Linked DNA regions of Elephas maximus indicus. The protein of the gene in region 4 binds, or shares a complex with, the protein of the main gene of each other region. Links are inferred from orthologs where the notes say so. Each region holds a gene or a part of one and is shown on either strand. Other genes may lie near its edges.

Region 1 (7,865 bases), on a different chromosome or scaffold from region 4:
ATGCCCCCAAAGAGGGAGAGGAACTTGCTGAGCAAGGCGGCACACATGCTCGCGATATGCACAAAAGGGCCCTGGGGGAGGGGGCAGATGGTGAGTGGAGTAGAGGCCCACCTTGGCCTGGCTATTCTCCCACTGGGGAGGGGCTCCATTATCCCCCAGCCTGCAGTCACCTCTTTGCCGAGTGGCATGCCACTGCCCAGGGCACAGGTCAGCCCGATGACCTTGGCTACAAACGTCTTGAGAGTGAGGTATTCCTTCAGCACCACTCCCCGCAAGATGGTCTTCATCTCGGGGATGCCAGACCCTGGAGAGGTACATCCCCAGGAGAGTCATCTGAGGTGTTCTTTTCAGGGGTCCCCCTCTGCCCTCCCCTTCTCTCCTATTGTACCGACAGCCTGAGGAGCCAGGATCTGTGTAAATCCTGCTGAGAAAGTGATCAGGACGATGGGGTAGGTGACCCAGGCCAGGTACTGGAGCAAGATGTTGGTGTTCAAGCCCCGGGACATCCACTGCTGAGCTGTGGAAAGAAGACATGCTGCTGGGCTCCCGATGCCCACCCTTGCCGGGGCACTGGGACATGTGAAGAGTTGTCCCAGGGAATATCAGACAGAGCCTGGGCTCAGGCAGTGGGAAGGGGCCCTAGAGGGCACTCACTGGGACAAAGACCAGTATAGGAAGGAGGCTCAGTGAGAGAAGGAAGTGGTCAATGGCCAAGTGGCTAAGACACCTGGACAAGTGTGGCATAGCGGAAGCAGGGTGGCCCCTGCCAGTTCTTGTCCTCACCTTGCAGACAGGCAGCAATAGCATAGTCCATGATCCAGCTGACCAGTGCCATAAGGAGTCCCAGCAGGACCAGGAAGATCCAGTCTTCACCGACCCTGGACACCAGGAACTTGTGGCAGCGGACGGAGCAGACTGGGAGCAGGAAAGGGAAGGGTGAGAGGCTGGAACCAAGGGGCGCCTACCCTTCTAACCTACCTTGCCCATGGGTGGCTCTAATGGCGTCCACCTCTTCCAGCCCAGCCCAGCCCAGCCCAGCCCAGCCCAACTGGTTCTCACTGCGGCACCCAGTGCAACGGTTCTGTCCATATTCCAGGAGTTCTGGGGAAGTCCGAGGGGAGGAGGGGCCCCTCCGGGGCTCAGGCCCTCCCAAGCGGATCCGAGCAGCTTCTTCTTTGGCAAAGGCCCCAAGGTCCTGAGTGTATCGGCCATACATCTGGAGCAATGGAGAAGGTGGGACATTAGCAGATGTGGGCTGTGTGGGGAGTGATCCTGGGGCCTCACATCCCCTCTTCCCAGCCTCCACATTGCATAGCTCCTCTTGAGCCCACAGTTCCCACTCTGGCTTGAGGTGTGGGAACAATGCACACTCAGGCTGTGAGGGCTGTCTTGGCTGGAGCGATGGGGACAGCCAAGGTACACAGCTCTGGGGGTGGCAGAATAATCAGTCCCCTTCTCACAGGCCTTGGGGGTGGGGCACTTTGGGGGAGTAGGAGGGAAGGCCCCAGAGGAGGAAAAGACTGAAAAACCTAAGGCACAGAGTCTGAAAGTGGGAGGAGGGAAGGTCAGGGAATAAGGGATGGTCAAGGGCTTAAGGTCAACGATAACGGCCTCATGGAGCTGGGGGCAGCTCAGAGTTGGGCCTAGGAACATGCGGGGCCCCAATCCTTATCACGTTCTTGCTGGGCCTCTGGCCTGTGACTGACTCTGCTGCACCCTCCCACCCCCCTTAATCCCCTTGTCCCTATTCCCCACCCCAACCCCCACCAGCCTGTCAGCCAGCTGCTCTCAGGATGGGTGGAGAGTGTTTGGTGGCCTCAGCCCCATTCTGGAGCTGCCCTGAGCCCAGTGGCGGTTTGGGGGACACCAGAGCTGCTGGTGGCTGGGCTGTTACTGGATGCTGGGGCGATGGGACAGGACAAGGGAAAGTCGGAGAGTTGCCGCGCCAGAGCCATGGCTAGACCTGCCAAACTAGGCATGTGTCGGGGGGGTGGGGAGGAGTAGATTCTGGCAGCCACTCGCCCAGCTTCGGGACACAAAGGGCTCCTGTTGGGGCTGGGGTGGGGAGGGGAGAGGGAGGGAAAGATAGAGACAGAGAGGGTGAGAGACAGAGAGCTAGGAGAGGAAGGCGAAGCACACAGCAAAGAAAGAGGAGAAAGCAGGAAAAGAAAGGTGAGAAGAAGGGATGGAGAAGAGAAAGGAGACAGGAATGGGGAGGAAGCACGGAGGAGAACAGAGAGAAAGCTGCTCATAAAGAGGCAGATAGAGTAGGAGGTGGGAATCAGTATGTGAGAGAAAGACAAAGGAATCAGGAGCAGAAGGGGGAGAGGCTGGAGAGAGAATACCCGGGGAGAGCATTTGACCCTCAGCGCTAGCTCATTCCAGAGGTGGAGGGGGGGAAGCCTGAGGAGGTGGAGACGTGGCTGGAGACAGACTCCATTTCAGAAGCAGGTGCCCAGTTGGCCTCCGCCTTGACCACTGTCCCTATCAGCCTGAGCAGATTGAAACCTCTTGCCCTATCCCGACGTCTCATTCCCTTCCCCTCACTCCAGCACCACTCCTGCCACCTCCCCCTGCCATCCTGTTTTATATAGTGACTCTCCTAACTGGGCACCTCCCAGCCTGAGTTACAGCCTAGCCCCCCTTCTCCCTGAGATGTTCCCTTCCTGCCACCTTCCTGGGCAAATTCCAGGCCAAGCAGATGAAGAGACTATTGCCTTCCCTGGGGCTTGGTCCCCTGCCCCAGTGACAATGAGAGGCAAATGCCTTCTCACACACTAAATGACAGTGGAGGCCATGAGTCAGCTCAGAGCCCCAGGACCCCTGCTTCTAATGAGGTCAAGGGACACCCTGGGGGAAGGTGGGGACTGGATACCTAGAGTCAGCATGGACAAAAGTCCCAATTCCCAGACCCAAAGCGCCTGTCCCCCAAGGTGGCAGGCCACCTTTTTTTTTTTCTTTTTCCAGAGTGGGCAGAAGGGTTCCTGCTAATGCTGGTTTGCAAAGCCTCAGGGGTAGGGCTGGGGCTGGGTTTGGGTCTGATTATGTCCCAACACCCCCTTGTCTCTGTCACCGTGCCATGCACATAGTGGGAACACAAGGGCTGTCTTGGACAGTGGGGACACTGGGAGAGAAAGTTCAAGCGTGTGAGTGGTCATGAGGGGCGGAGTGAAGGCGCTGAGGCTTGGGCTTAGGTGGTGAGGGGAAGGAGGAAGAAAACGTGTGTGTCTGTGTGTGTGTCGTGAAAGAAAGGCACCTGGGACAAGTACCTGGTATCCTTGTCTTCTTCAGGCCCCCAGCCTCGGCCAGAAACCTGCAAGCAGCTTTCGGCCCCTTTGGCCCTTCAGCTTCTTAGACCCCCGAGCCTCAGTTTCCCCAGCTGAGAAGGTTGGGTGGGGTTCAGGTAGGCCCCGCTCCCAGCGCTTCCGAGGGTAACGTGGAGCCGCGGTCCTGGAGCGCACGCTCGTGGCCGGGCACCGCTTCACTCACCAGGGTCTGCTCGTACTGCAGCGCCCGCGGCTCCATCCCTGCCTCTGCCGCCACCGCCCCGGCCGCCATCTCCGCGCACTGCCCTCTCGTCTGCCGCTGAAGCTCGGGCTCCGGCCGGCACTCGGCTCCTGGTCCGCAGAGCTCGCTCCGGACCCGGACCCGGACCCGGCCCGCAGCCCGAGCTGCCGAGCGCAGAGTGCAGCAGGTCCCGAGCGGGCGCCGTGAGCGCAGCCTCCCGCTCTTGTACTCTCCCCGGCGGGCGGGCCGAGGGCGGTGTTCTCTGCGCGCTCCGCCCGCCCGCCCATCCTGAGGGGCCGGCCCAGCCCGGCCGGGGTCTGCTTTGGGGCCACTTCCAGGCTCCGAGAGGCGGCAGGGGGCGCTGGGGCCTAGCGAGAACGCGTCCCCTTCCCGCCGAGGCCGGGGACAGAGACGGCGCCCGGGGCCACGGCGGGGGCGGGTCCGTTGGCCTGTGGAGAGGCCGGCGGGGTACGCTGCTCCTTGGGCCAGGGACGCCGGAGCTCAGTCGAGCTCGGGGTCCGGGGCTGCAGAGCCGTCTAAATCGGACTCTTGGGGCTCAACTCTTTTCTCTGGAGCGGCACCCTCTCTCTCCTCGGTAGGGGCAAGCGGCTGAGACGGGCCGGGAGCGGCCTCTCTGCGCCGCCGGGGGTGAGAGCAAAGCTGCGGGGACTCGGAGAGGAATTCTGGGCCCAGAAGGGGCGGGGACAGGAGGATGCTAGTTGCTGAGACCCTCGGTCTCTTTTTCCCTTCCTCCGGGCTTCCCCAGGGAGGTGCACCTGGAGGAACCTGGCCTGGGGTTGTGCGGGGGTGGAGGTGGGGAGGGGAGAGGCGAGGCCCGAGGGAAGGGAGGTCTGGGCGCCTGAGAGGCCACTCCTGGGAGGCGGGCGTGTAGGGGCAGAGGTTGCTTCTCCTTGGCAGGGCCCAAGGAGAAATCCGAGTTGCTGCTGATGTCTCGCTGCCACGGGGGAACGGCTTGCTGGGGCTCTGCGTTCCCTATCAGAGTTCGGGGAAGGATAGGGCAGAGGGTGGGGTGAGCACAGACTGGATGGGCAGCGTCAGGGGTAGGGTAGCTAGAGCGGAGACGGCAGTGCCCAGGAAACGGGCAGAGATAGTGTGCGTGTGTGTGTGGTGAAGGGGCACGTGGAGGCAGAGGCGGTTCGCGGGGGGAGGGGGCACTGCCCAGGAAACTGGAAGAGCTGGTATCTGAAGGGGTGGCCAGTGCCAGAATGAGTGTCCAGAGGGACAGGGCAGTGGTGGAGGAATGGGCAGTACCAGGCTGCGGGGGCTAGTGCCAGGCTGAGGCGGGGTGTAGGGAAGGGAGCAGGGCCCAGGGAACAAGGGCCGTGGGGGGCGGACGCTGTGCCGGAGGAGAGGGCACGGCGGGCTTTCCTCTTCCCCATAGTGACATCTTGGCAAATTCCCAAAATGGACGGATCCGGCTCGGGTGACATCCAGCAGGGCCAAGCCGGCCTGGGGCCGGGGGGCCTCAGGGCCAGCTGGAGTGGCTGGGCACTGCGCCCTGCCCCGCTCCTACGCTGAGGCCGGGGCTCTGCTCTGCCCGTCCCAGCCCGGACTGTGTCCTCGGCGGGCACGCGGACCGAAAGGGTAGGGCTAGGGCCGGGCTTCTCTGGGCCAAGGATCAAGGTCCTAGCCTGGGATAGGCCCCATGCATTACATTCTTGAGGACCCCGCCTCTGAAGAGGGCGCATTGGAGCCCCTGAGCGCGAGAATCCGTGCCACTTCGACCGGAGGCGGGATCTATTGCGTTCCCGCCCAGGGGCGGAATCACCTGGACCCGAGACCCGCCCTCAGTACAGAAGCGTCTCGGCTGCAATCACTCGGGGCGGAAGTTAACATACCCCGAGAGGGAGGTGGCGGAAGTGGGGCCGGTACTGCAAGCCCTTGCGCGTGTGCTGTCCCGCTACCTCCCGGCCGCTCTCTGGGCGCTCTCCCTTTGCCTTGGCTTCTAACCCACGCGAGGGGTTGTGTGTATTCCCCCCCGCCGTCTCGGTCGCGCGCTCAGCACCCTTCAGCGCCCCCCTCACTATGGCAGGCATCCTGTTTGAAGATATTTTCGATGTGAAAGACATTGACCCAGAGGGGAAGAAATTTGACCGAGGTACGTAAGGTCTGTAGGGGCGGTTTGGGGGAAAGGGGTCACGCCTCCGGGCCCCACGTCGTCCAGCTTACGTGGCCTGCCCCTACCTGCAGGCCCTGATGTTGGGACCTCCTTCAGGAAACGTTTATAGACGAGAAGACTGAGACTTGGAGCTTTCCCTGTTTCACACATGCTGTGCCCAGTGGCTGGGTGGCTTTTTGTCCTGGTCCTGGCAAACTCCGGGGCGTCTTTCGTAATAACAGTCGCCACCTACTCCGTAAGACACGACTGTGCACCCTACACACCCCTTGTCTTAATTGCTCCTCTCAACAGTCCCCATGAGGTGTGGGATGCCTTCCCCGTTTTGCTCTGAGAGGTTCAGTAGCCCGCCCAAGGCTGAACAGCGAATGATCTGACGTCAGAGCCTGTAATTTTGTATTGCCTTTGGAGATCCTGGAGGTCCAGTGGGTAAGAGCTACAGCTGTTAACCAAAAGTTCGGCAGTTGGAATCCACCGTATACACTCCTTGGAAACCCTTTGGAGCAGTTCTACTCGGTCCTATAGGGTCGCTATGAGTTGGAATGGACTCAAGGGCAAAGCTTTTTTTTTTTTTTTTAACTCTTTAAGAAGCAGTCTCTGAGTTAGGATTAACTCACGTTAATTCTTTATTCTGTCATTGATCAATAATCGTTTCTCCCCCATGTCCCTTCCTTTGCCTGGAGACTGAGATGTGCTTTCAGGCAGATACTGGTTCTTAAACATCCTGATAAGCCCCTCAATGTAAGGCTTAGCACAGAAAGACTAAACTTTTGGGTGGTTGTTTCTTGCTAAAACAAACAAGCAAACAAAAAAAACCATTGCCCTGGTGTGGATTCTGACTCATAGTGACCCTGTAGGACAGAGTAGAACTGCCCCATTGAGTTTCCAAGGTGCTGCTGGTGGATTTGAACTGCAGACCTTTAACCTGGATATTATTCCCTACCAGAGTACCTTTCTGGTTTTCTCTCCCCCCCCCTTTTTTTTTAGTAATACTTTATTTTATATTTGATGATGGTTTACACAGTTTACTACATTCCCATTTGACAATTTCTATATAAATTGTTCCGTGATGTTAGTCATGTTTGGGCATTCTGTTCCCTTGAAACGGTTTTCCTTTTTGCATATGTAGTTCTGATTGAGTTTGCCCTTATATAAGCGTAGGTGAGAGACTGGTAGATGCAGGCTGGTTAGATTGAGTGTTCTGTTACGTGTAATCCCCAAAGCGAGGTCTGCCCTGGACCTGGCAGTTCCCTTTGCCACTCTTTCTCTCTTCCTGCCAGTGTCTCGACTGCATTGTGAGAGTGAATCATTCAAGATGGATCTCATCTTAGACGTGAACATTCAGATTTACCCCGTCGACTTGGGTACGTGCCGAACACAGACCATAGCAAGGGGCTTTTTGCCATTTCACTTGTCTTCACCTTCAGATGTTGCCATTATTTTCAGGTGACAAGTTCCGGTTGGTCATAGCCAGTACCTTGTATGAAGACGGTACACTGGATGATGGTGAATACAACCCCACAGATGACCGGCCTTCCAGGTGAGAGTGGAGGAGAGAATGCTTGAAATATACGTGGAAGACTTAAGCAGAGAAGCGGTATAGAAAGATTCTTATTTAATTATTGGAATAAGTGATTATTAACAGAATCTGAGTAATAAGGAATGTGCTACACTTAATTAATTCAGACAACTGGGCATTTGTCGACAGGCATGATTACAAGCTTCTGAGTTGCAGTTCTTTGAAGGCCCAGGGACTAACCACTGAGTGACCTAGGTTATGTGGACCTTGTGTCTTGGGAGGGAGCTTGGTGTGTGGCAAGGCTTTGGAGCGCCACTGAGTTCAAATTTCAGCTCCACCTCTAATTTGCTGAGTAACCTCCTTGAGCCTGAGTTTTCTCATCAGTAAAATAGAGATGGTCAGGTCCAGGTCATAATGTTGCCAAGGACTAGACGGCATCGTAGTTGTAAAGGGCCTGTTTTTAAAATACTGGCACTTACTTACCAGTTGCCATTTTTAAAGGGCCTTTTGTTGTTCATTACTGTCCATTAAGAATAACTGCCACTGTTATTCCACAGGGCTGACCAATTCGAGTATGTAATGTATGGGAAGGTGTATAGGATTGAGGGCGATGAAACTTCTACGGAAGCAGCAACACGCCTGTAAGTTCTGTGGTCTCGTGAGAATCCTTTTTCCCCCCTCCCTGTTCTGAGAAGTGGGGCC
Region 2 (7,530 bases), on a different chromosome or scaffold from region 4:
ATCGTTGATTGTCACAATGGGGGCATGCTATAGGTTTGTTTTTTTCGGTTTTATCTAGAGTTTAAGGCAGAGGGTTGGTGAAAGCGGAAGAAGTAAACTTCATTTAGTTGGCCAAGGAAAGGAACACACTGGGACCAAGATGGCTCCTGAACAGGCATAGGGGTTTATATGGGGAGGAAACAGAGTAGGGGTGGCCTTTTCTTCAGGGCATGTTCAGGGGCTTGGTCCATCAGGATTGGTAGCCAGCTCCGGTGATGATCCCGATGTCATGGGGTCGTTGCAGTCTCACTGGGCCTTGAAGGAGGGAAGTGGTGGTTTAGCTCCTCCCATCTGCCATCCTGCCACTGCCTGCCTCATACCAGCAACTAGTGGGTAGAAGCCAGAGATGGTGCTAAACACGCTACAGTGCCCAGAACAGCCCCACAACTAAGACTTATTGGGTCCAAAAAATATCAATAGTGCTGATGCTGAGAAACCCTTGGACTAAAGTGTTAGCAAGGAAGGTGTTAGCAAGATCAGCTAATGTTTCAAAACTAGAAAGAGAGAGAGAGGTGCTGCTTCAGACATTAGACATCTGGGAAGTTTGAGATTCTATCTGATATCTAGGAAAGGCGCTGGGTAGAGAGCTAAATACTATATACTTACCTGGAGCCCCAGTGGCACAGTGGATAAGAGCTTGGCTGCAAACCAAAAGGTCAGCAGTTTGAATCCACCAGTCGCTTCTTGGAAACCCTTTGGGGCAGCTCTACTGTGGAGTTGGAATTGACTCGAAAGCAATGGGTTTGGTTTTTTTGGTTTTATCTGGAGTTCAAGGCAGAGGGTGGGACTCCAACGGCATAGGAGGGGCTGATAACCTCATTAGGGAGTGAAGGAAGCAAGAGAAGAGAAAAAGGCTAGGGCTGAGCCTAGAGACACTGCAGTATTCAAAGGTCAGGAAGGCAGTGGAGACTAGAAGGCAGTAGGAGAAAAACCAGGATAGAGTGCTGTTTTGTAAGAAAGTGAAGAAAGCGTTCAAGAAGGAAGGAATGGTTAACTGAATTAAATGCTGCTGAAAGGTCAAGATGGAGGTCACTTGTAAAGAGCAGTCCAAGTGGAACGGTGAGGTGGGGTGGATTGAAGGGTGTGGGGGAGGTGACAAAGGATGGGTGAGGAGACAATGAGGGTGGTTGACCCTTTAAAGATTTTTGTTGTGTTCTTTTTTTGTTGAGTTCTTTTTTGCTTTTTTTAAAGGTAAGGACCCTGGGTGGTACAAGTGGTATGAGTCCGACTACTAACCAAAATGTTGGTGGTTCAAACTCACCCAGTGGCACCTCGAAAGAAAGGCCTGGTGATCTTCCATAAAGATTACAGCCAAGAAAACCCTATGGAACTTAGTTCTACTCTTTAACACTTGGGATTGCCATGAGTCGGAATGGACTCAACAGCCGCAGGTTTACATATGCTATGGGAATGATTGCTCCTGCCATAATCCCCTGGTTCACCTGCCCTCTGGGAGTCCCTAAGTAGGAGAGTGGGGATGAAGGAGGGGCAGGAGGACACTTTTGGGAGTGGTGGATAAGTTCATTATCTTAATTGTGGTGATGGCTTCATGAGCATATATGTATGTCAGAACTTATCAACTTGTTAGGTGTCATCGAGTAGCTTCCAATTCATGGCGACTGTGGAAAGCAGGCTTAAGAGACATGTTGGGACATGTCTGGACAAGTGTGGCTGTCATCTTCAGTTCAGTCTATAATGAGGGGAGCAGGCCCAAGAGATAAAAAGACATTGTGAGCTTGACTAAGGAAGATAGTCATATCAGGATAACCAGAGAGACTGACAGACTTCATCAAGAAGAAACCCACATAATGGCATCAGACTTTATCATCATCAACCAGATGAGTTCAAAGAGCTCCAACGTGTACAAAAGAAGCAACAGAAGGAGACGACAGTGCTTGGAGCCTTCCCAGAGCCACTCAGTCATACGCTGAGAATTTAGGAAGCAGTGGGCTGCGTCACCTCGCCCGGGCTTACTCCTAAATTCAAGAGATGTTGCTCTCGGTCATACATTGAGAACTAGGCAGCAGTGGGCTGCGGCAGCTCACCTGTGCTTGCTCCTAGCTCAAGAGACGTTGAACGGAACGGTCACCAAGCAGTGGGTAGCGGCAGCTGGTTCGGGCTTACTTGCAGACCTTCCTGCTACAAGGTTCATGAGCCCACAGGGAGCTACGCATGATCCAGAGACCACCGCTAACCATTAAGACTGGAGATCATCACCAACCATTGAACGGCATCATTGAACTGCACCATCTAATTGCTGTCCTCGCTTGCCGTAAGTTTGACCTGTGTCTTTCATTTCTCCCCTCCTTTGGTTATCGGAAACCCTGGCGGTATAGTGGTTAAGGCTACAGCTGCTAACCAAAGGGTCGGCAGTTCGAATCTGCCAGGCACTCCTTGGAAACTATATGGGGCAGTTCTACCCTGTCCTATAGGGTTGCTATGAGTTGGAATCGACTCAATAGCACTGGGTCTGGTTTTTTGGTTTTTGGTGATCTGAGATCTCTGGCGTCTGGGATAGCCAAGAACCTACTAATGTGTGTTTGTGCTTAATGAATTGAAGAAATTAATGTAAGACCTAAAAAAAACTGTTTAATAAAGACATTGTGGAAAGACACAAATAGTGTGGAGTAGTCTATAAGACTCTTCCTCACCACAGCGACCCTATCTACAACAGAACAAAACGCTGCCCAGTGCTGCCTGGTCCTGCACCATCATCACAATCATTGTTATACTTGAGCCCGCTGTTGCAGCCACTGTGTCAATCATCTCACTGAGGGTCTTCCTCTTTTTCACTGACCCGCTACTTTACCAAGCATGTCCTCCGGGGACTGATCCCTCCTGATAACATGTCTGATATACGTGAGATGTAGTCTCACCATCCTTGCTTCTAAGGAGCAACTACCCTGTTGTCGAGTCAATTCCGACTCATACTGACCCTACAGGACAGAATAGAACTGCCCCACAGAGTTCCCAAGGAGCGCCTGGTGGATTCAAACTGCCGACCTTCTGGTTGGCAGTCAGTGCTCTTAACCACTACACCACCAGGGTTTCCAAAGAGCAACTAGTACACTTTAAATATGTGCAGTTTATTGCATGGCATTATACTTCAAAAACATTTTTTTTAAGGCACCCACAAAACGATGAAGTTGAAAGACATCTGCTAGCATTCCCTGATAGATCCATATTCTGGTGAGATAAATGATTCATACAGATTCAAAAGATCTTAAGGCTGGAAGTCCCCTTGGTGGCCCCCTCCCCACTTTTTCCCTGTAAGGGTTCCCTGCCCACTCCACCCTACCCCACCCTACCCCACCCCACCCCAGCACTCTGGTCCAGGTGATGGTGATACAGATAGGATTAACTGTGCTCGTGGAACAAAAGAGCTGCTAAAAGATTACCAGCTAGAAGTTGGGTAAACAGGAACCACACCCTGTCAACATGAGAAAAGGCTGAAACGACCCAGGAATTACTATCTCCTTCTTAGTGTTTTTTCTAGTCCCTTCCCCCTTTACAGCCTTCCACATGCACAGAACAAAGTGTGACGGCTGTTTAACCTTCCTTATCCCTCCAAAGATGGTGATGTAGTGCCAAAGATCAGTGTGCTTGCCCTATATCCCATAGTAAGTGATGCCAAGGGCTGCCGAGAGGAATCCATCTTGAATATCAGCAGGTACCATTTGGTTTCCAGATGTGCACAGGCAACCTAAGCGCAATCTAATTAACATGCACAGTCATTCTGGGAAGTACCCAACCCTTGAAAGAAGCCCACTAAATATTCATTACTCTATTGTCTCCACCAAACCCATACAAGACCTTGATTGCCTTTTCGAGTCAGTCTGTTAGAGAGGCTTAGATCCTCACTGACTCCCTTTGCTTGACTCAAGCAAAATAAAGCTTGCTGAAAATAAAGTTTGTCTTTCACCTGTATTCTTACTCGGGAAAAGACAAGGACCCTTTGTGTCAGATTGGCAATTGGTAACAGCGGGAGAGGATTGCATGGGCCACCACTGCTCACCGGCCCCCACTGATGGGCCTTCACGACCTAATTTGGGCAGGGAGAGCAGTCAGCCTGCGGAACCACTAATACCTGCCTTTTGGATGAAGCCAAGACACCAACTGGGTGTCGCCCCTGGGTCATAATAATCAGCATCGGTTCAAAAAGCAGACAGGGGAATAGAAGGGAATATTTGAAGACTGCTCTTCTAAGTCCCAATTTGACTGAGGGAGCGAATGAGAGCCAGAGGGTTCCCAGGCCTAATTGGGCGTGGAGCAATTGTCCACCTCCTTGTCTTTAGCAGGGAAGACATGGGTGGGGCAGCGGAAGAGAGGAGAAGAGAAGGGGCGGTCAGGCCACGCTCTAGCTCTGTGAGTTTTAAACCGGCCCCTTCACTCTGCGGTTTTAGTTCCAAGTCGACCCAGCAGAGGTAGAGCCGAGAGCGGACGGAGCACGGAAGAACTACATTTCCCAGCAGGCCGCGGGAGCCGGCCATTCTTCCTGGCGCCCGCAGAGCGGCCCCTGGAGCTCGGCGTGCAGGCGGACGGACACATGGAGCCCGGCGGCCGGTGGCAGAACCTGCCTAGCGGGCCTAGCCTAAAGCACCTGACCGACCCCGCTTACGCGATCCCACGGGAACAGCAAAAGCCAGCGTTGCAGGAGCTGACGCGGGCCCATGTTGAGTCCTTCAACTACGCGGTGCGAGAAGGACTCAGCCATGCAGTGCAGGTGAGCGCGGCGTCCCCCTCGCCGCTTGCCGTTACGAGGTGAAGCTGGAGGTGGGCTGAGAGAAGGGCCGGCGGGCTGGGAGGGAGCGAGGCGCTGCGGCTGGAAGGCGGCGGGCCTGGAGCGCGGGGTGCGGTGGGGTGCGGCGGGTGCGGGTGGGTGCGGGTGGGGCGTGGCGGATGCGGATGGGTGCGTGAGGCGTCCAGCCTGCTGCCGGGGGTCGAGGGCGGCGGGCCGGGCCGGGCCGGGCCGGGCCGGGCCAGCGGTTCCGGAGAAATGGCCGCGAGGTCACCATGTAATCACAAATATGAGCCCCTTGATCGGTTCCCCAGGGAACGCCAGAGAGCAAAACAATGTAAAACGGACGCAGTCCTTTGCCTCGTAAGACCTGGAGCCGAGTCGAGTAGGGAAAAGTGCATTTGTGATTGCTGGGTTTATATGGGATTGCAGACTGTGGTGTTTTGAAAGATTGTGGGTGTTGTGAGAGTGAGGAAGTGACCCGTCTGGGCTTCCCAGCCGTTCTCAACGCTAACTTCTTGGTGTTCCGCGAAGACTTACTTCCAAAGGTTCCGAAACTAGTCGTAGACAGACTGTGAAGTCAGTATACGGTCGTTCTTCAGGTTTTCTCTCAGAGCTTTAAAGAGAAACTACGAGGCACCTGCTCGGATTTGGCAGGTGTTGAGAAAGATGTAAATGAGCCATAAAGGCAAGATTTCTTCTGACCTGTCCAAGAAAATGGGACGTACTTTTGAGTAGAAAGTGTAGTAATAGCTCTCTTAGGTAGCATAGGTGTAACCAGAGTTCAGGTGAGGATGTTGCGGGAAGGTCTCACTGAATTACCATCCCAGTGTCTCCAGGTCCTAGGCCACATAAGAAGAAGGTGGACATGAAAGCCCTCGGGGCCAATACTCTTAACTGCCCTGGCAAGGGGTAGTGTAAGGAACTGTGGCCAGCATAGAAGGTACAGCAAATCTAGGCGTTTGAGGTTAAAGGAAGAGGAGAATGCTTCCCTCCAGGGACGTGAAGGAGCAGAGCCAGCTACTCGGGGAACACTGAACAGGTTGGACTTGTGTTGTCAGGAAAAGGATGGAGAGAATGTGGAGGTCTCTGATTGCCAGTTTCTGATACTTGAACTCTGTTCTGCAAATAATGTGGGAGCCATTAAGGTTTCTTTGAAGATTAAGGCTCCTTAGCCTTTTTGAGGAAGACAATGGGAAATATTTCTGTCGTGCCTGAACTCTTACTGTATCTTGTCTGTGAGAAAATTTTATATATATATATATAGTTAACAATTAGCAGTCTGTGGGTGGCACACATGGTTAAGCGCTCAACTACTAGCCTTAAGGTTGGTGATTTGAAACCACTCAGAGCCACCTGGGAAGACAGTCCTGGCAATCTGCTTCTGAAAGGATCAAACAAACAAAACCAAACCCATTGCTAACAAGTCGATTCCAAACCCCCGTGGAGCAGTTCTATTCTGCACATGTAGGGTCGCCTGGAGTCAAAATCAACGGTTGTATCCAGCCTCTTAGAAGTGCATTCCTGACTTCTGTGAGTCAGAGAGCTGGTAATCTGTTGCGCTGTCTATTCAGCATCTCTAGAGATCGCTAGTGCAGCTGTGGCTTGAGAAAGTGAATCTTTTCTCCCTTCTTTAACAGTCCACCCTTAAGTATGAAATCTATTACAAAATTTATTTTAGAATAAAGTATTCTAAAATAACACCAGCCTTCGATAAAACTTAAAAATTTTGGAAAGTTTTCAAAATTTTTAAATAGACAACAAAAGTGTACTACTTGTATTTCCAAGTCGGCACAAGATCATTCATAATTTCAAAACAACAATTTATTGGATGATAATGAAGTTGCAGAGATTATTGTGAGTACAGCCCAAGGTAACTAGTAAGAGCATGGTAACTTGAGTTAATCTCTGGAAATGCATGTGTTTATGCCTTAAACTCTTTACCTTAGAAAATTTTAGAAATGAGAATACACAAACACACATGCTACTAGCTGCCAGAACGCTGACATCATTACACTTCACGTAGCCTCTGGAAAACTCCACTGTGCTTACATGAGAGAATGCGTGTGAAAAAGACAAATAATGTCCTAGGATTACTATGCAAATAGCTTGGACCTCATGGGCACCCTGAAAGGGTCAGAATACATTTTGAAATCTACTGGTATAAAGAATTAAAAAAAAAAACTCATAGCAACCCTGTAGGACAGAGTAGAACTGCCCCATGGGGTTTTCAAGGAGCAGTTGATGGCAGTGGGTTAATGGGTATCTTAATTATTCTTGTATATCCATGTCTAGAGTAGCATCTCCTACTTGGTGACTGGTAAATTGAACTCACTCGAGGGTGGAGGACCCCCTTTGTATTCTTGGCTCAGTTTTCAGCATTTTCATTATTCTGACATTAAGGCCAGGAAGTTGTTCATACTTAATAGAAAAAACTAAAAGTAAAAGTCATAAACTGAGTCTTAACCTGAACTTGTCTCTGCCAAGTGGATAGAATAAATGGATTGTTGTGTGCTGTCAGGTCGATTCTGACTCATAGCCTCCCTATATGACAGGGTAGAACTGCCCCGTTGGGTTTTCTAGGCTGTAATCTTTACGGAAACAGATTGCCAGGCCTTTTCTCCCCCAGAGAAGCTGGTGATTCAAACTGCCAACCTTTCAGTTACCAGCCGAGCGCTTAACCATTACACCACCAGGGCTTCTTATAAATGGATTAAACCCACTGCCGCTGAGTCGATTCTGACTCATCGGGA
Region 3 (7,507 bases), on a different chromosome or scaffold from region 4:
TTCCTGGGATACTGACAAAGATGGGATCAGCATGGCTGGGGACCCTGACTTGGACTGTTAGCCTCCAGAACTGTGAGAAAATAAAATTCTATTCTTTAAGGCCACCCACTTGTGGTATCTGTGTTACAGCCGCACCAGGAAAGTAAGACAGCAGGTAAATCTGGTCCCTGTTACTCCATTTTGGCCAGAAGCAGAAGTCTTATTCCAAATTTGCCTTTCATAAGCCCACTTAGCGATGGCAATATTTGTTACACGTGTTCCATCATGGCTCTGTGCAGTCTGAAGAGTGCTGGCATGTTTAGTCTGTCCAACAGCAGGTTGTCCACACATGATTATTTTGGTTCTATTGCCCTTAACGTGTGGTAATCAGAAAAGGACCTAGCACTTCCAGCGTAAAAGTAGCCTCATTTTACCAAGGTTACACAGACCAGTGTGACAATTTCTATATTAAGAGGCAGGTATGCTGGGGTTAAAAGAACACTGGAGTCAAACGACTCAGATTCAAGTCCTGGCTCAGACACATTATACTTGTGTGATTTTGGCAAACGCACTCAACCCCTGTGAGGCCTACTTGCCCCATCTATGGATAGGCATAACAGTGTATCTCACAGGTTATTACAAGGTGGAAATGATATAATGGATAAGAAAACATTTTGTAATCTGTGAAGTACTGTACAAAGGTAAAATGATAACGAAGCATAATTTCCAATACTCTCAACGGTTTTCAATTTTTCTAATGCATCCCCTGCCCCAAACCTCTACACTATCTTGGCACGTTAAAAACTCTTAAATAAGTATTAACTAATATAAAGAAATGCATCGTCTTCTAAGTCCAATTTTAATTATTTCCCCTTAAACCACAGTTTAAATCAGGAAATCAATTTTAAATGTGGCTCACCATAATTTCAAAAACTCATCTTAAGTCTAATTTACAAATTCCTTAACCTATTTGTAAGCACTTGAAGACTTTACATTCTTGGAACTGTGACATTGCATGAGTGAGAAAAATACATCAATTCTTTGGGGATTATGCTACTATTAGGTTGAAAATGTATTTTTAAAACATAAATTCAAAAATTATATCTATTACTTACTTCTGTAACATTGTGGCAAGAAGTACAATAATATTTGCCTTCATCAGTAAGACCCCAAGAGACGGCAGCACACTGAGTACAGCGTTCTTTGAACTCTTTCTAGAGGAGAGGAGGATAAAAGAGGTGTTACTCTCAAACCACATTCAATACATTGTACCTAAACCTTGTATTTCTGCTTAGAGTATTCCCTGTCATTATCACAGAATATAGATTATTTGCAAATAAGTACAATAACGGTTCAGTCTCTTGATCAGTATGGAACCACTTTAAACTATTAGGGAAAATTTTCTAAACTTGGCCGTGAGGGAAAAAAGAAGAAAAGGTGGTAGGAGTAAAATTGGAAACAAAGAGAAAAGTAAATACAACTTCCCGAAAATGCTGTAAGAAAAAAGAAGACAAAAATTAAGTATAGAGAAGACTTCAAAAACAGAAGTAGCATATCATTGGGAACTTCCTCCAGGACACTACAAACACATACCCACCACAAAGGAGCTAGGTGTTTATTAGGGTACTTCAAGTTCTGATGTATTATTCAGCAACATAATGAGTACCAGCTACGTATGTGCCAGTATTTTACTAGGTGCTGGGGAGTCGGTGAGCAAAACAGATGTGATCCCTACTTAGAGTATAACAGGCCATTGATGAGTTATAATAATTAATTTTCTTAATCTAGCATTTACAGAACAGTTATTGCACATCTACTGCGATGAAGGCGTAACAATTGTGAGGATGGTGCAGGACCAGCCAGTGTTTCCTTCTGTTGTGCACAGGGATCACCATGAGTCGGAAGCGACTCAACGGCACCTAACAACATCACCGTACTGCTTGGGTACATCCAAACCAAAAAACCAAACCCAGTGCCATCATGTCGATTCCGACTCATAGCGACCCCATAGGACAAAGTAGAACTGCTCCATAGAGTTTCCAAGAAGCGCCTGGCGGATTTGAACTGCCAACCGTTTGGTTAGCAGCCGTAGCACTTAACCACTAAGCCACCAGGGTTTCCCTTAGGCCTAATTCTCTGACACTAAATTACTTATTCCCAATGTCTTTGGTGTTTGACTTAATATCCTTTATCTAAATGTAGCCCTGGTGGCTCAGTGGTTAAGATCTCGGCTGCTGACCAAAAGGTCAGCAGTTCAAATCCACCAGCTGTCCCTTGGCAACTCCATGGGGCAGTTCTACTCTGTCCTATACAGTTGCTATGAGTCGGAATCGACTCGACGGCAACGGGTTTGGTTTGGTTTAATTCCCTCATCCTCCCGTAATACCCTTAAAAAGTTGCTGCATTTTATGTAGCAGGTCAAAAATGAACGCAAAATTTATTTTAACAACTTGATAACGTTTTCAACTGTCATGACCTTGGGGTGTTCCAAAACTAGAATTTGGAGTCACGGCACCAGGCTGTGGCAGGAGTCCCAGAGGGACCGGCCGGGGTTACCTGGGTGCATTCTGGTTCCATCCGCTGCCCCGCCCTCACCCATCCCAGCATCAGAGGGAGCTTGGGGGTGGTCCCGTCGGGCGAAGAGGAGCCAGTGGGTGGCCACCTCGCAAAACCCACAACTTCGCCCTCCTCCGTAATACACCCACATCGACAAGCACACCGCCCTCCCTTCACCCACAACCTCACCAAGCCAGACACTCCAGCCTTTTTCCAAAAACGCGCACGAACGCTCCCCGGGACTGCCGGTCAACCCCATCCCGTTTCCCCGTTCTGCATCCTTCCAATCCGCCCTCCTTCTTCCAACGGCTTCCCTCACAGCTAGTCAGCGTCCTCCAACCCCTTCTCCTCAGCCTCACTCCCCTCCTCCCCCAGCTTTCCGTAGCCTATTGGCTACAACGGCCTCCTTACCGCCTCGTCTAGGTCCATAACTGCTCCGCTCCTGCCCCTACGGCCGCCGCCCCCGCCGCAAAGGCCCGTTACCCCGGCAGCGAGCGCAGCTTCCGGGAGCCACGAGAGGAGCCCTCCGGCCGGAAACAGAACCCCCTGACATTGGATTCCGGCGCCTTCGGCCCAGGTGAAACCCCTGTTCGCTCCGGAAGGAAGGAACCCAAAGCCCCCATTTGAGAGCACCCCTTGACCTAGGCTTGGTATGAACCAGTAAGAAACTGAGCGGTGCCTACTGCTGAACTAATTCAGTCATGCTTTGTTTTGACGGCCTTTCACTCCAAGACCCACTGATTTATTCAGGCTGCCAAGGGAGGCAGTGGGGTGCCACGTTCCAGAACATGGACTCGAACCGTTTGAGTTCCACGACTGGCTTTCTCCACCTCTTACTGGCACAGGAGTGTGTACAGCGTTAGGTGCCGTCGAGTTGGTTCCAAGTCATAGCCACCCTGTGTACAACAGAACGAAACACTCTTGGGTCCTGCGCCATACTCACAATTGCTATTATGCTTCTAAAGCTCATTGTTGCAGCCACTGTGTCAATCCACCTCACCGAGGGTCTTCCTGTTTTTCGCTGACCCTCTACTTGACCAAGCATGATGTCTATCTCCAGGGACTGATCCCGCTTGGTAACATGTTCAAAGTACCCGAGACAAGTCTCACCATCCTTGCTTCTAACGAACAGTCTGGCTATACTTCTTCCAAGACGGATTTGTTCATTCTTCGGGCAGTTCATGGTATATTCAATATTACTCGCCAAAACCGTAACTGAACTGCGTCAATTCTTCTTGTCTTTCTTATTCACAGGCATCGGGATTTGGAAGAAAAGAAAGAACACAGGTTGCTGAGTCAGACCTGCGTTTCTAATCACATCTTTTCTGCTTGTTTCTCAGTTTCCTCCTCTGCAAAAATTAGATGTTGCCTGTGAATCCCTTATAACTGAGCCATAGTAAGAGCTCAATACGTTCAGCGATTATTGTTCATACATTGAACACATTTATTCCTTGATTTATTCATTCAGTTCTTTCATTCAACAGGCACTGTTTTAGGACCTGGGGATTTAGCAGTGAAGGAAAAAAACAAAAGTCCCTGCCTTCATAGATTATATTCTTGTGGGGAGAGAAAAAAATAAATAAGAAAAAAATATATGATATGTTAAAAGGTGGTGAGTGCCAAGAAGAACGATAAAGCAGGAAAGGAGAATGGGAGTGCTAAGATAGATAACTGCAGGGAGTCGACTCTGACAACTTAACGTACAACAGAAGGAAAAGCTGCTGGTCCTGCGTCATCCCTGACCCTCTACTTCACCAAACGTGATATCCCCCTCCAGCGATTGATCCCTCCCGGTGACATGTCCACACAAGTGAGTCAAACAATGTTCTGTTGTGATCCATACTGTATTCATTGGCCGGTTTTTCAGAAGTAGATCAGCAGGCCTTTCTTCCAAGTCTGTCTTAGTCTGCAAGCTCTGCTGAACCTGCCCACTATGAGTGACCCTGCTGGTATTTGAAAGACTAGTGGGATAGCTTCCATTATCACAGCAACACAGGAGCTACCATAGTACTAAAACTGACAGATAGGTAGTTTCAATTTTAAATGGGGTAGTCAAGAAAGATCTCACCGAAAAGGTAATATTTGAGACAAGGGAGGAAGAGCCATGTTGAGAACAGTGTTCCAAGGCAGAGGTAGCAGTGAGTACCAAGGCCCTGAGTCCTGAGCCTTGTGTCATGTCGTTTAAGGATCATGAAGAAGGTCAGTGAATGGCTGGATTGGTGAGCTAAAGGGAGTGTCGAAAACAATGCCTTCGTAAGGTCTTCAACTTTTATATGGAAAACTTAGGGAAGTCATTGGAGGAGTCACATGATCTGACTTATGTTTAATCACTCTGGCTGTTGTGGGAAAAATAGAGTGCTGGGGAGGAGGGCAGGGCAAAGGAAGGGGTGGAGAGAGAAGTTAGCTGACTATTGCAACAGTCCAGGTAAGATATAATAGTAGCATGAACAAGATGGAAGCAGTGGAGACAGTGAGAAGTAGACAGATTATGGACAGATAGTACTTTGAAAGTAAAACCAACAGGATATTCTGATGGCCTGGAAGTGGGCTGTGAGAGAAAGAAAAGAGGCAAGGATGACTTTAAGATTTTTGACTTTACCAGCTAGAAGGGTGGAGCCATCATCAACTGAGTTGGGATGGATTGTGGTTGCAATAGTTTGGGAGTAGGATAGGGGAGGAATAAGGAATTTGATTTTGGCAGTTTTAAGTTAGAGATGCTTATAAGACATCCAGGTAGAGTGAGAAGGCAATTGGACATAGGAGTTTAGGATTCGGAGGAAAGTTTTGGATTGTTGCTAGTTGTTGTCAAGTCAGTTCCAACTCATGGTGACCCCATGTGTCCAAAGTGGAACTGCTCCACGGTGTTTTTAAGGCTGTGACCCTTCAGAAGGAGATCACCAGGCCTGTCTTCTGAGGTGCCTCTGGGTAGGTTCGAACCACCAAACTTTCAGCTAGTAGTTGAGTACTTAACTATTTGCACCACCCAGGAACTCCTTAAGTTTTGGGTTGGAGATATACATTTGGGAGTTATTTCTGACTAAACCAAAAAAAGCAAATCTGTTGCCATCGAGTCAATTCTGACTCATGGGGACTCCGTGTGTTACAAAGTAGAACTGAGCTCCATGGGTTTTTTTTTTTTTTTTTTTTTGGGCTGTAGTCTTTACAGAAAGGGGCCTTGGTGGCACAGTGGTTGGTTAAGTGCTTAGCTGCTAACTGAAAGGTCAGTGGTTTGAACCCACCAGCCACTCTGTGGGAGAAAGATGTGGCAGTCTATTTCCATAAAAATTCAAAGCCTTGGAAACCCTATAGGGTAGTTCTGCTCTGTCATAGAGGGTTGCTATGAATCGGAATCAGCTCAATGGCAATGGGTTTTGGTTTCTGGAATCTTTACAGAAGCAGATTGCCAGGCCTTTCCTCAGCAGCCCTATTGGGCACGTTCAAACTGCCAGCCCTTCCACTGGTAGTCAAACACAAACCGTTTTCAGCACTCAAGGACCTTATCTCTGACCAGATGATATTTAAAGTTATAAGTCAACGGAGTGGCTCTTCTCTCACTTCACATTCACTTGTCAATTCATTTATTTCACAAAGATTCATTAAACACCCAGCATATGCCAAACACTCTTCCAGCTCTTAGGGAATGAAAGGTAAACAAGACAAATTCACTGCCCTCAAGAAACACCTAGTCCAGTGGGACTGACTCCTTATTTTAATATAAAAAAAGACCACCCATTGCTGTGGAGTCCATTCCAACTCTTAGCGACCCTACAGGACAGGGTAGAACTGCCCCATCAGGGTTTCCAAGGAGTGGCTGGTGGATTTGAACTGCCAACCTTTTGGTTAGCAGCTGAGCTCTTAACCACTATGCCCCAGGTCTCCTATTTTAAAGTGAAACTAGATAAATTCTCCTTTGCAGTTGCATCACCCATGTCATTCACCAAGGCTTGATTCTGTACAGCTTCAAACTCCTTCCAAAAAATGTTATCCACCTGCCAAGCATTAAGTTTTGCCATGTAAAAATTTTCAGTTGTAAGCCTCCTATTTTCAAGGCCAGCCCTGATTTAAAATGTTGAAATATTGGACTGGCTGTTTGTGGAATAGGGAGAGTGATAAATATTAAACTGAACAGAAATTAATGTATTGGTCTAGACTATAAGCTCCTTGAGATCAGGGACTTCTGTCTTTTTATTTATCGTTGTATGCCCAGGGTCTATAACATTGCTTAGCTCACATGATTTTTAATAAACCTTTGTTGAATGAATGAATGACTTTGTAAGAATTTTATGTACATGTAAAGTATTTAAATAGCCTATCTGTATTTTTAAATAATATTTTATTGTGTTCAAGGTGAAAGTTTACACAGCAAGTTAGGTTCCCATTTCTATACACATTATTCAGGGATATTGGTTACATTTTTTTACAATGTATCATCGTTCTCATTCTGGTTATACCATTTTGAGTAGTCTAGTTTCCCTGCCCCCTTAACTTCTCATCTTTGCTTTAGTGTAATTTTTCACCATTTAGTTTTTTTTTTAAAGGAGTTCATTACTCACAGGTGATGTCCTTTATTTTAGAAGTCAATCTGTTATTTAGCTAAAAGGTGACCTATAGGGTTAACTTTGGTTTAAGGATTAAAGACTATCTCAGGGTGATCGTCTCAGGAAGTCCTCTAGTGTCAACTGGTCCAGTGAATCTAGACTTTTTAAGAATTTGAGTTCTGTTCCACAATTTTCTCCAGTTCTATCAGGGTCCATCTATTGTGGCCCTGATCAGAATGATCATTACTGGTAGCCGGGCACCATCTAATTCTTCTGGTCTCATGAAAGATGAGGCCATGGTTTGTGTAGACTGCTTTGTTCTCTGAGTCTTTGGTTTCCTTTTTTCTCTTTTGTTCTAAACAAGTAGAGACCAAAAATTGTATCTTAGATGGCCACTCACAAGCTTATAGGACCCCAGACACTACTCACCACAT
Region 4 (7,426 bases):
TGGAGAGGATTGTGGCTCAGCCTGTGTCTTTGCTGATTTGTGCTAATGCCACCCCATTCTGCACCCCTGCCAGGTGGTGTGAGGGCAATAAAAGAGGGACCAAGGGGCCCGCCCTGGAGCTGCCGGGGCTCCTTCCTGTCATCCTTACCTCAGCACTCTGGGGCTGGGACTCTGGCAGGGTCAGTGCATCTCTCCAGCTGCACATAAAGGACAGATTGGGGACACTGCTCAGACCAAGGGGGCCGCTCATAAACAGCGTGGGGCGGAGAGAGCTGGGGAAGTCCATCCTGGAAAACAAGAACCACAAGTCACGCTGGCCTCCCCAAGACTAGAATTCAACAATGGCTTCCAGGGCTCCTGGGAGAGTGACAGTGCCCTAATAGGAGTCCGCTTTCTTTAGGGACACCGATAATAAAAACAAACGAATACGTAGCCTAACACTGGGTAGCAATGAGTGCCACGTTAAGACAAACCAGCCAACCACAAGTGGGGAGACAGCAATGGGCTGAAGCTGCGGTTTTAGCAATGGTACCAAAGACAGCCTCATTGAGGAGGTGCTGGGCGAGCAAAGCTAGAATCTAACGAGGGAAAGAGCCACGCAGACAACTGCGAAGAAAACAAACAGCGAGTGCAAAAGCCCTGGGCGGAAAAGTGCTCGGCAAGTTTGAGAAACGAGGAGGCATGTAGTGAAAACAGATCACGTGAGGAGAGCGTTAAGGGATGCCCATCCAACAAGCGGCGAGGGATGTTTCTATCACAGCTCTTATCAGCCTGCATTATGATATGATTACGCAGTTTGCAGCCCTAACTCCCAAGGCTTGGCTCAAGTTCCCCCAAAGCCAGGGACTTAGTCTTGTCCACCTATCTTCCCACTGTCAAGCACAGGGCCTCCCAGAAAACACACTGATTGACTATGTTGAAGAAAGATAAATTTATGTCAAAGGGTTTTGGGAATACAAAGTGCTCTAGAATACGAAGAGCAGCTAGGTCACCCCTGCCTCTTTTATTAAACGCAAAAGGACGGCAGTGCTCACTTACTGAGCCCCACATCTCCAGACATGGCATTATAAGCTTCACACTTCTTTCTATTGGCCCTATTGTGGAGTTCAGGAAACTGAGGCATGTTAGACAGTAACTTATCCAAGGTCAACAGCTCATAGTGCCAGAGTCAAGGCTTGATCCCCCATGCGAGTCAAAGTCTGTGCTCTGAACCACTGCATCCTTGTGCATCCAAAACCAAACGTTCACATTAGAGTCCAGTAAGCAGAAATCTTTTCCCTTGGAACCACCATTGCGTTTTATCAGTTTATGCTGTAACCTCTGCACATCCAGGTACTCTCAGCACCACACACTGCCTATCACATAGTAGGTTCTATATAAATACTTGCCAGCTAAATGAATGTTTCTCAGAGCACGTATCAGCCTCATCCTAATTGTGATTTATGTGTCTGGCTTGTCTCTCCACTAGACTGCAAACTTTCTGAGGACATGAACTGTGTCCATTCATTCCTGAGTCCCTGATGTCTGGCTGCTGCTATGATTTTCTTTCCCATGTAGGAGAGGAGAGAGGAAGGGATCTAGGAGGTGCTCAGTGAATTTTTACAGGATCTTTACAGAAGCTCTAGCTTCTGTAGGTCAAGGGGCACCCAAGCCTCTCCAAGGTGGCTGCATCCCCCATAACCCAGCAGACAGAAAATGTCTCCAGCTCATTTCTCCGTTCCCTGGGCTCCAGCCACGCTGATCTACTTTTGGTTCTTCACCGTGCCTCTTCTCACCACAGGGCCTTTGCACACTGTTCCTCTGCTTAGACTGAGTCCCAGCACTCAGATTTGGAGTCAATGATCTCCTACTCAGGGAATCCTCTCCCAGTTTCTCCAATCCTACCCTTCTCCCACAACACCTTGTACCCTTCCTCTAGGGCATTCACAGCAATTTGTGGTTAAATACATAAGGAGGAGGCTGTTTGATTCTGCTCTAATAGGTCTTGTGATAAATGAAGTGCATATATTCTCAGTGCCTTGGTATTTGCCACTTGGTAATAATCAGTCCGTATCCCTGGTGGCAGAGTGGTTAAAGGCTAGGCTACTAACCAAAAGGTCGGCAGCTCAAATTCACCAGCTACTCCTTGGAAACCCTATAGGGGCAGTTCTACTCTCTGCTATAGGGTCACTATGAGTCAGAATCGACTTGACAGCAATGGGTTTAACAATCAGTACATATAAGTTGTAGAAACAAATCTAGGAATGAATGAATGAGAGAAAAGAATCAAACAGCCTCAAAAAACCCAAGCCAACTGAGAGCGCTGGTGGAATCCAGGACTTGCCTGGGCAAGCAGCCTCGACCACCCCTGGCCGGCTTCCCGCCCTCCCTCTAAGCTTTCCATGCCCTTCCTACGTCCAAGGCTGAAGAAATAGGACAGGTCTGGCTGAATCCAAGACCGGGAACAGCAAGAAAGTCGCAGAAAATGGTAAAGGGGATACTAACGGTCTCTCCTCGTGCATCTCCTACTCGACCATGTCCTCACGCATATCCCTAATCCAGCCTCCTCGACGACCTCTTCCCACTCCACCTCCAGGCCCCACATTTTCAACCCGACAAGAGCAGAGGCCTCATATCTAGTGCTACATGCGCCAGGCAGCTGCTACGACACTTAACAATTTGTAGAATCTGCACTACTCCGTGAGCTACCGGCAGCTGCTAATCACCCATTCCGCAGATAGTTAAGTGACTTGTCCCAAAGCCACACAACTTGGGGCCTGAGCGCCCGCCCGCCGGGTAAATTCGAGCTCTCCTGTCGGACCCAAGTCCCGGTCTCCCGCCGCCCAGTGGGCAGCGCTCTCTCCTCCCGTCTGGGCGGTGCGCGCACTTACGTGCCCTGGCCTCGGCGTACTCGTCTGGGAAATGGGCCCCTGCGCAACGCTCTCCTGACCCCTGTCCCGCGAGAGAGCCCAAAATTTGCACCCACGCGCCAGGGAGTTCAACGGGACCGCGCCCACAGCGTGAATTAATAATTTTCCGGGACTGGCCGGAAGTGCCGCCTCGGTAACAGGAAGTCCCGCCTCCCAGCTCGGCCTCACGGGCGTCGGTGAGCGCCACCTCCCGGGTGGAGAGGGAATGGGGCGCAGGAAGTACCGTGGGAGGTGGGGACCCTGAAGTTCCAATAGTGAAGGCCAGTCAGAACTGCGTTCGAATCCCACATCTGCTTTACCAAACTCATGTTTGATATGGTTATTCTATTTAATTAATTCAGTATACATTTACTGTGCACCTACTGTTGGGCCTCATTTGCTGTTTGCACCACCCAAGGACTCCTAGCTTAAGGAAGACCTACAATAGTTTTAAATTTTAGATCTAATGATCCCGTGGGGCTGTTACAATTATAAGCACCTTCAGTCATCAGAGGAGTCCTGGCGGCACAGTCATTAGCTCACTGGTAACCAAAAAGTCAGGGGTTCAAACTCACCAGCCACTTCGTGGGAGAAAGGCATGGCAATTTGTTCCCATAAAGATTTGCAGCCTCGGAAACCCTATGGGGCAGCTCTACTCTGTCTTATAGGGTCGCTGAGTCGGAGTTGACTCCATAGCAGTGGGTTTTTCATTTACCAGATGAGGACCCCTGGCTCAGAAGGGTTAAGCTGCTGACGGAGGGGTGGTATGGTGGGGTGTGTTGGGGGGGTGTTTATGGTAGCAGCCAGGATGTAAGGATGAACTCCCCAAGGCCGCCAGCCGCTCTTTCCTGGTCTTTGATCCCTAGGACAACCCAACGGTCGAGAAGGGGCTGCTGGGAGAGCCACACCCCAGCCCATTCCAGAGGCCCCACCCGGAAGTGAGAATTCCGAGGTCAGCCAAGACTGTCGTCCCATTGGCCTGGCAGCGGCCAGAAGATCAACCTTCCCATTGGCTGGACAGGCAGGGGAGGGGCTCACGGTGCGCACCCTCCTACAGCTGCCCGGGAGACAGACCTTCTCATTGGCTGGGTGGCAGGGGCGGAGCTTGTGGTGCCCTGCTGGGAGACCAGCCTTTCCATTGGTTGGGCAGAGGGGCGGGGCTCGAGATGCGTTGCCAACCGCGTGCTGCCCACGCGGGAGCTGCCGGTGTATGTTAAAGTGCTCGCTCAGTGCGAGATCCGGCGCAGTGCGCCTTCTGGAGCTCGGGTTCAGACATGGCCTCTCCGGCCAGCGCGGACAGTGTTCGCAGGAAGCCCCGCCTGGCAGCGTCGTTGCAGATCAGTCCCGGGCCCATCCCTTGGCGGCCCTCGAGTAGTCTGGGCCAAGATCCCTTGAAGCCCGCACCCAGCCCCAGCGTGAAGGAGGACGATGAGGGTGGCAGGCAGCCCCAGGCTTCAGCGGCAGAGGATGGTGGGCTGGGACTGGGGGCGGAGCGGGGGCAGGGCAGCCTGGGCACGGGAGCTTTGGGGGACGGATGGGGACGTCCCCAAGGGTCTCTGTTTCTCCCGCAGGGGCAGCCGGGGACTTCCCGAAGGCAGCCGGGCAGCTGAGCCTGCAGCTCAAAAACCCACCCCCAGGCAAGGCCGTGGACTTGCTCACGCAGTATGCAGCCAGCCTGGGTGTCTCGCTGATATTCCGAGAGAATAAAACGGCAGGTGAGCACCTGGGTACCAGGTATTCGGTGATGGGGAGGGGGTTGGGGAAGGTGGACACTGGCCTCCGTGCTCTGAAGACCGGCTGATGACCACCTGACCCCACACGAAGTGAGAGGGGGACTGTGAGCTGCACAGAGCGTGGACATTTGAGGTGGACTCTCCTTCCTGTGAGCAGCTACACACCAGCCACCATTAGACATCTTATGTGGCAGAGCCATGGCAAAGGAATATGATCCCCATCCAAAGCTCAGGGAGGCTGATGGACTTGCCCCAAGCTACCTACTTAGCACACTTTTTTGAGGGCCAGTTACATGCCACTTGCTGTGCCAGCATTGAAGATATTTGAAGGAGGGTGACACCATAGAAGTATAATCATTACCCATGTCTTTTCTCCTTCCTCAACAGAACCACCAGCTCACCAATACAAACAGATACACATAGAGCAATACACCAGGTCCTAAGGCCAGGCTACCAACCTTAAGCCAGCACATTGTCACTGTCTAAGGAGGTTTTAAGGAGGTAGTAAGGGAATCATTCCTCAAGCCGTGGCAACATTATAAAACCTTCTAAGAGAACCCCAAGGAGTCCCTGGGTGATGCAGACAGTTAGTGTGTTTGGTCGCTAACCAAAAGGTTGAAGGTTCAAGTTCACCCAGAGGCACCTTGGAAGAAAGGCCTGGTAATCGACTTAAGAAAAATCAGCCATGAAGATCCTGTGGAGTGCAATTCTACTCTGACACACACGGGGTTACCATGAGTTGGAATTGACTTGACAGCAGCTGGTAAGAGAACCCCATATGAACCACTCAATAAGAGACAATGATATATAACAGTAAAGAGTCCTGGGTGATGTGCTAGGCACTGTTTGAAGGGCTTCAGGCATGATAACTCATCCAGTCCTCACAAGGACTCTTGAGGTAGGTACGGTACTGTTAGCATCGTTTTACAGACGGGGAGACTGAGGCCAGAGAGGTCACACAGAGAGTGAGTGGTATGCCATTGATGGTGCTTGTTTCCACCGTTTACATGGGAAGGCATGGTTTTTAATCATTAACTTTTTAATTTCGATGATAGTATGAAGAACTCCCGTAAACTCGTCACCCAGAGTCATCAGTTAGCATTTAACACATTTGCTTTGTGCGTCTCTCCTCCTCTATATGTTTATCTATATATAAATACTCACATTATTTTTTCAAGTAATTTGGAAGTTAATCATAGACCCGCATGCCCCTTTATCCCTAAACACCTCAGATTGTGTTTCCTTAAGAACAAGGATATTCTCTTATATAACTATAGTATAATTATCAAATTGCAGAAATCCAACATTGATGCAATCACCTGTTGCTGTCAAGTTGATTCTGACTCAAAGCAACGCTATAAGCAGAGTAAAACTGCCCCATAGGGTTTCCAAGGAGTGCCTGATGGATTCGAACTGCTGACCTTTTGGTTAGCAGCCGAGGTCTTTACCACTGCACCACCAGGGCTTCATTGCTAATAACACTGTTATTTAATTACCACTCACATTGAAATTTGTCCCAATAATGCTGTTCATGGCCATTTGTTCTCAGTCCAGCATCGCATGTTACACTTCGCTGTCCCACCTCTTGAATCCCCTGTGATCTGGAACAATTCTTCACAGTCTTTGTCTTTCATGACATTCATGCTTTGAAGAGCAGGCCAGTTTTGGGTTTGTCTGTTTCCTTGGGATTAGGTTCAAGTTCTGCATTATGGATGGGAATGCACACAAATGGTGTCATGTCCCTCGAAGGACATCACACCAGGAGGCATGTGATTTTGGTTGGTCCTGAAGCAGGTGGTGCCAGCTGTGATGCTTGATTAGGGCGATGTCTGCCAGCTGCCTTTGCTTCCCCCTTGGGTTTAAAGGGGAGGTATTTGGAGAGCATGGAAGTATCCTGTTCCACATCACACGCTGTTACTTAGTGACTTTAGCAAACACGATGAGCCTCACCAGATCTCATTTTTGCTGGCTGCAAAGCGGTGGTTTTCTAATGCCAGCATCCCTTTTACATCTGTTTGTTGGCATTGTCAAGGCTTTTTTTTTTTTTTTTTAGTTGTGCTGTAAGTGAAAGTTTATAGTTCAAGTTAGCTTCTCATACAAAAGTTTATACACACATTGTTATGTGGCCCTACTTGCTCTCCCAGTAACGTGACAGCACACTCCTTCTTTCTACTTTGGATTTTCTGTGTCCATTCAACCAGCTGCTGTCCCTCTCTGCCCTCTCATTTCGCCTCCGGACAGGAGCTACCCATTTAGTCTCATGTGTCTACTTGGGCTAAGAAGCACTCTCTTCACGAGTATCATTTTATGTCTTATACCCAAAGCCAGTGCCGTCGAATCAATTCCGACTCGTAGCGACCCTACAGGACAGAGTAGACCTGCCCCATAGAGTTTCCAAGGAGCGCCTGGCAGATTCAAACTGCCAGCCCTTCGGTTAGCAGCTGCAGCACTTAACCACTGCGCCACCAGGGTTTCCATTTATGTCTTATAGTTCAGTCTAATCTCTGTCTGAAGAGTTCACTTTGGGAATAGTTTCAGTTCTGGGCTAACAGAGTCCAGGGGCCATGTCTTCTGGAGTCCCTGCAGTCTCAGTCAGACCATTAAGTCTGATTTTTTTACTAGAATTTGAGTTCTGCACCCCGCTTTTCTCCTACTCCATCAGGGACTCTCTGTCTTATGCTCTTGTCAGGGTGGTCACTGGTGGTAGATGGCACCATCTAGTTCTTCTCATCTCAGGCTGATGGAGTCTCTGGTTTATGTGGCCCTTTCTGTCTCTTGGGCTAATATTTTCCTTGTGTCTTTGGT

What was found. Proteins that work in one complex are often made in the same cells at the same time.
Region 1: TAF1C (region 4) and POLR2H share a complex: the UniProt entries of both Homo sapiens proteins name them as parts of the pol I pre-initiation complex. The link is inferred for Elephas maximus indicus from reciprocal best matches to the Homo sapiens genes TAF1C and POLR2H.
Region 2: TAF1C (region 4) and POLR1B share a complex: the UniProt entries of both Homo sapiens proteins name them as parts of the pol I pre-initiation complex. The link is inferred for Elephas maximus indicus from reciprocal best matches to the Homo sapiens genes TAF1C and POLR1B.
Region 3: TAF1C (region 4) and TAF1B share a complex: the UniProt entries of both Homo sapiens proteins name them as parts of the transcription factor SL1/TIF-IB complex. The link is inferred for Elephas maximus indicus from reciprocal best matches to the Homo sapiens genes TAF1C and TAF1B.

What each region holds. Positions count from the first base shown.
Region 1 is NC_064819.1:30,728,471-30,736,335, reverse strand, and holds the start of POLR2H (DNA-directed RNA polymerases I, II, and III subunit RPABC3), read left to right. Parts: upstream 1-4,851; 5' UTR 4,852-5,553; coding exon 5,554-5,626; intron 5,627-6,924; coding exon 6,925-7,008; intron 7,009-7,090; coding exon 7,091-7,184; intron 7,185-7,720; coding exon 7,721-7,804; intron 7,805-7,865. Other genes in the region: CLCN2 (chloride channel protein 2), read right to left, coding at 1-71, 171-304, 389-517, 784-915, 1,060-1,216, 3,490-3,558. UniProt on the Homo sapiens protein: DNA-dependent RNA polymerase catalyzes the transcription of DNA into RNA using the four ribonucleoside triphosphates as substrates.
Region 2 is NC_064835.1:41,808,810-41,816,339, forward strand, and holds the start of POLR1B (DNA-directed RNA polymerase I subunit RPA2), read left to right. Parts: upstream 1-4,516; 5' UTR 4,517-4,585; coding exon 4,586-4,762; intron 4,763-7,530. UniProt on the Homo sapiens protein: Catalytic core component of RNA polymerase I (Pol I), a DNA-dependent RNA polymerase which synthesizes ribosomal RNA precursors using the four ribonucleoside triphosphates as substrates.
Region 3 is NC_064830.1:19,313,916-19,321,422, reverse strand, and holds the start of TAF1B (TATA box-binding protein-associated factor RNA polymerase I subunit B), read right to left. Parts: upstream 3,015-7,507; 5' UTR 2,965-3,014; coding exon 2,947-2,964; intron 1,194-2,946; coding exon 1,095-1,193; intron 1-1,094. UniProt on the Homo sapiens protein: Component of RNA polymerase I core factor complex that acts as a GTF2B/TFIIB-like factor and plays a key role in multiple steps during transcription initiation such as pre-initiation complex (PIC) assembly and postpolymerase recruitment events in polymerase I (Pol I) transcription.
Region 4 is NC_064839.1:50,141,683-50,149,108, forward strand, and holds the start of TAF1C (TATA box-binding protein-associated factor RNA polymerase I subunit C), read right to left. Parts: upstream 3,013-7,426; 5' UTR 2,871-3,012; intron 288-2,870; 5' UTR 287-287; coding exon 149-286; intron 1-148. UniProt on the Homo sapiens protein: Component of the transcription factor SL1/TIF-IB complex, which is involved in the assembly of the PIC (pre-initiation complex) during RNA polymerase I-dependent transcription.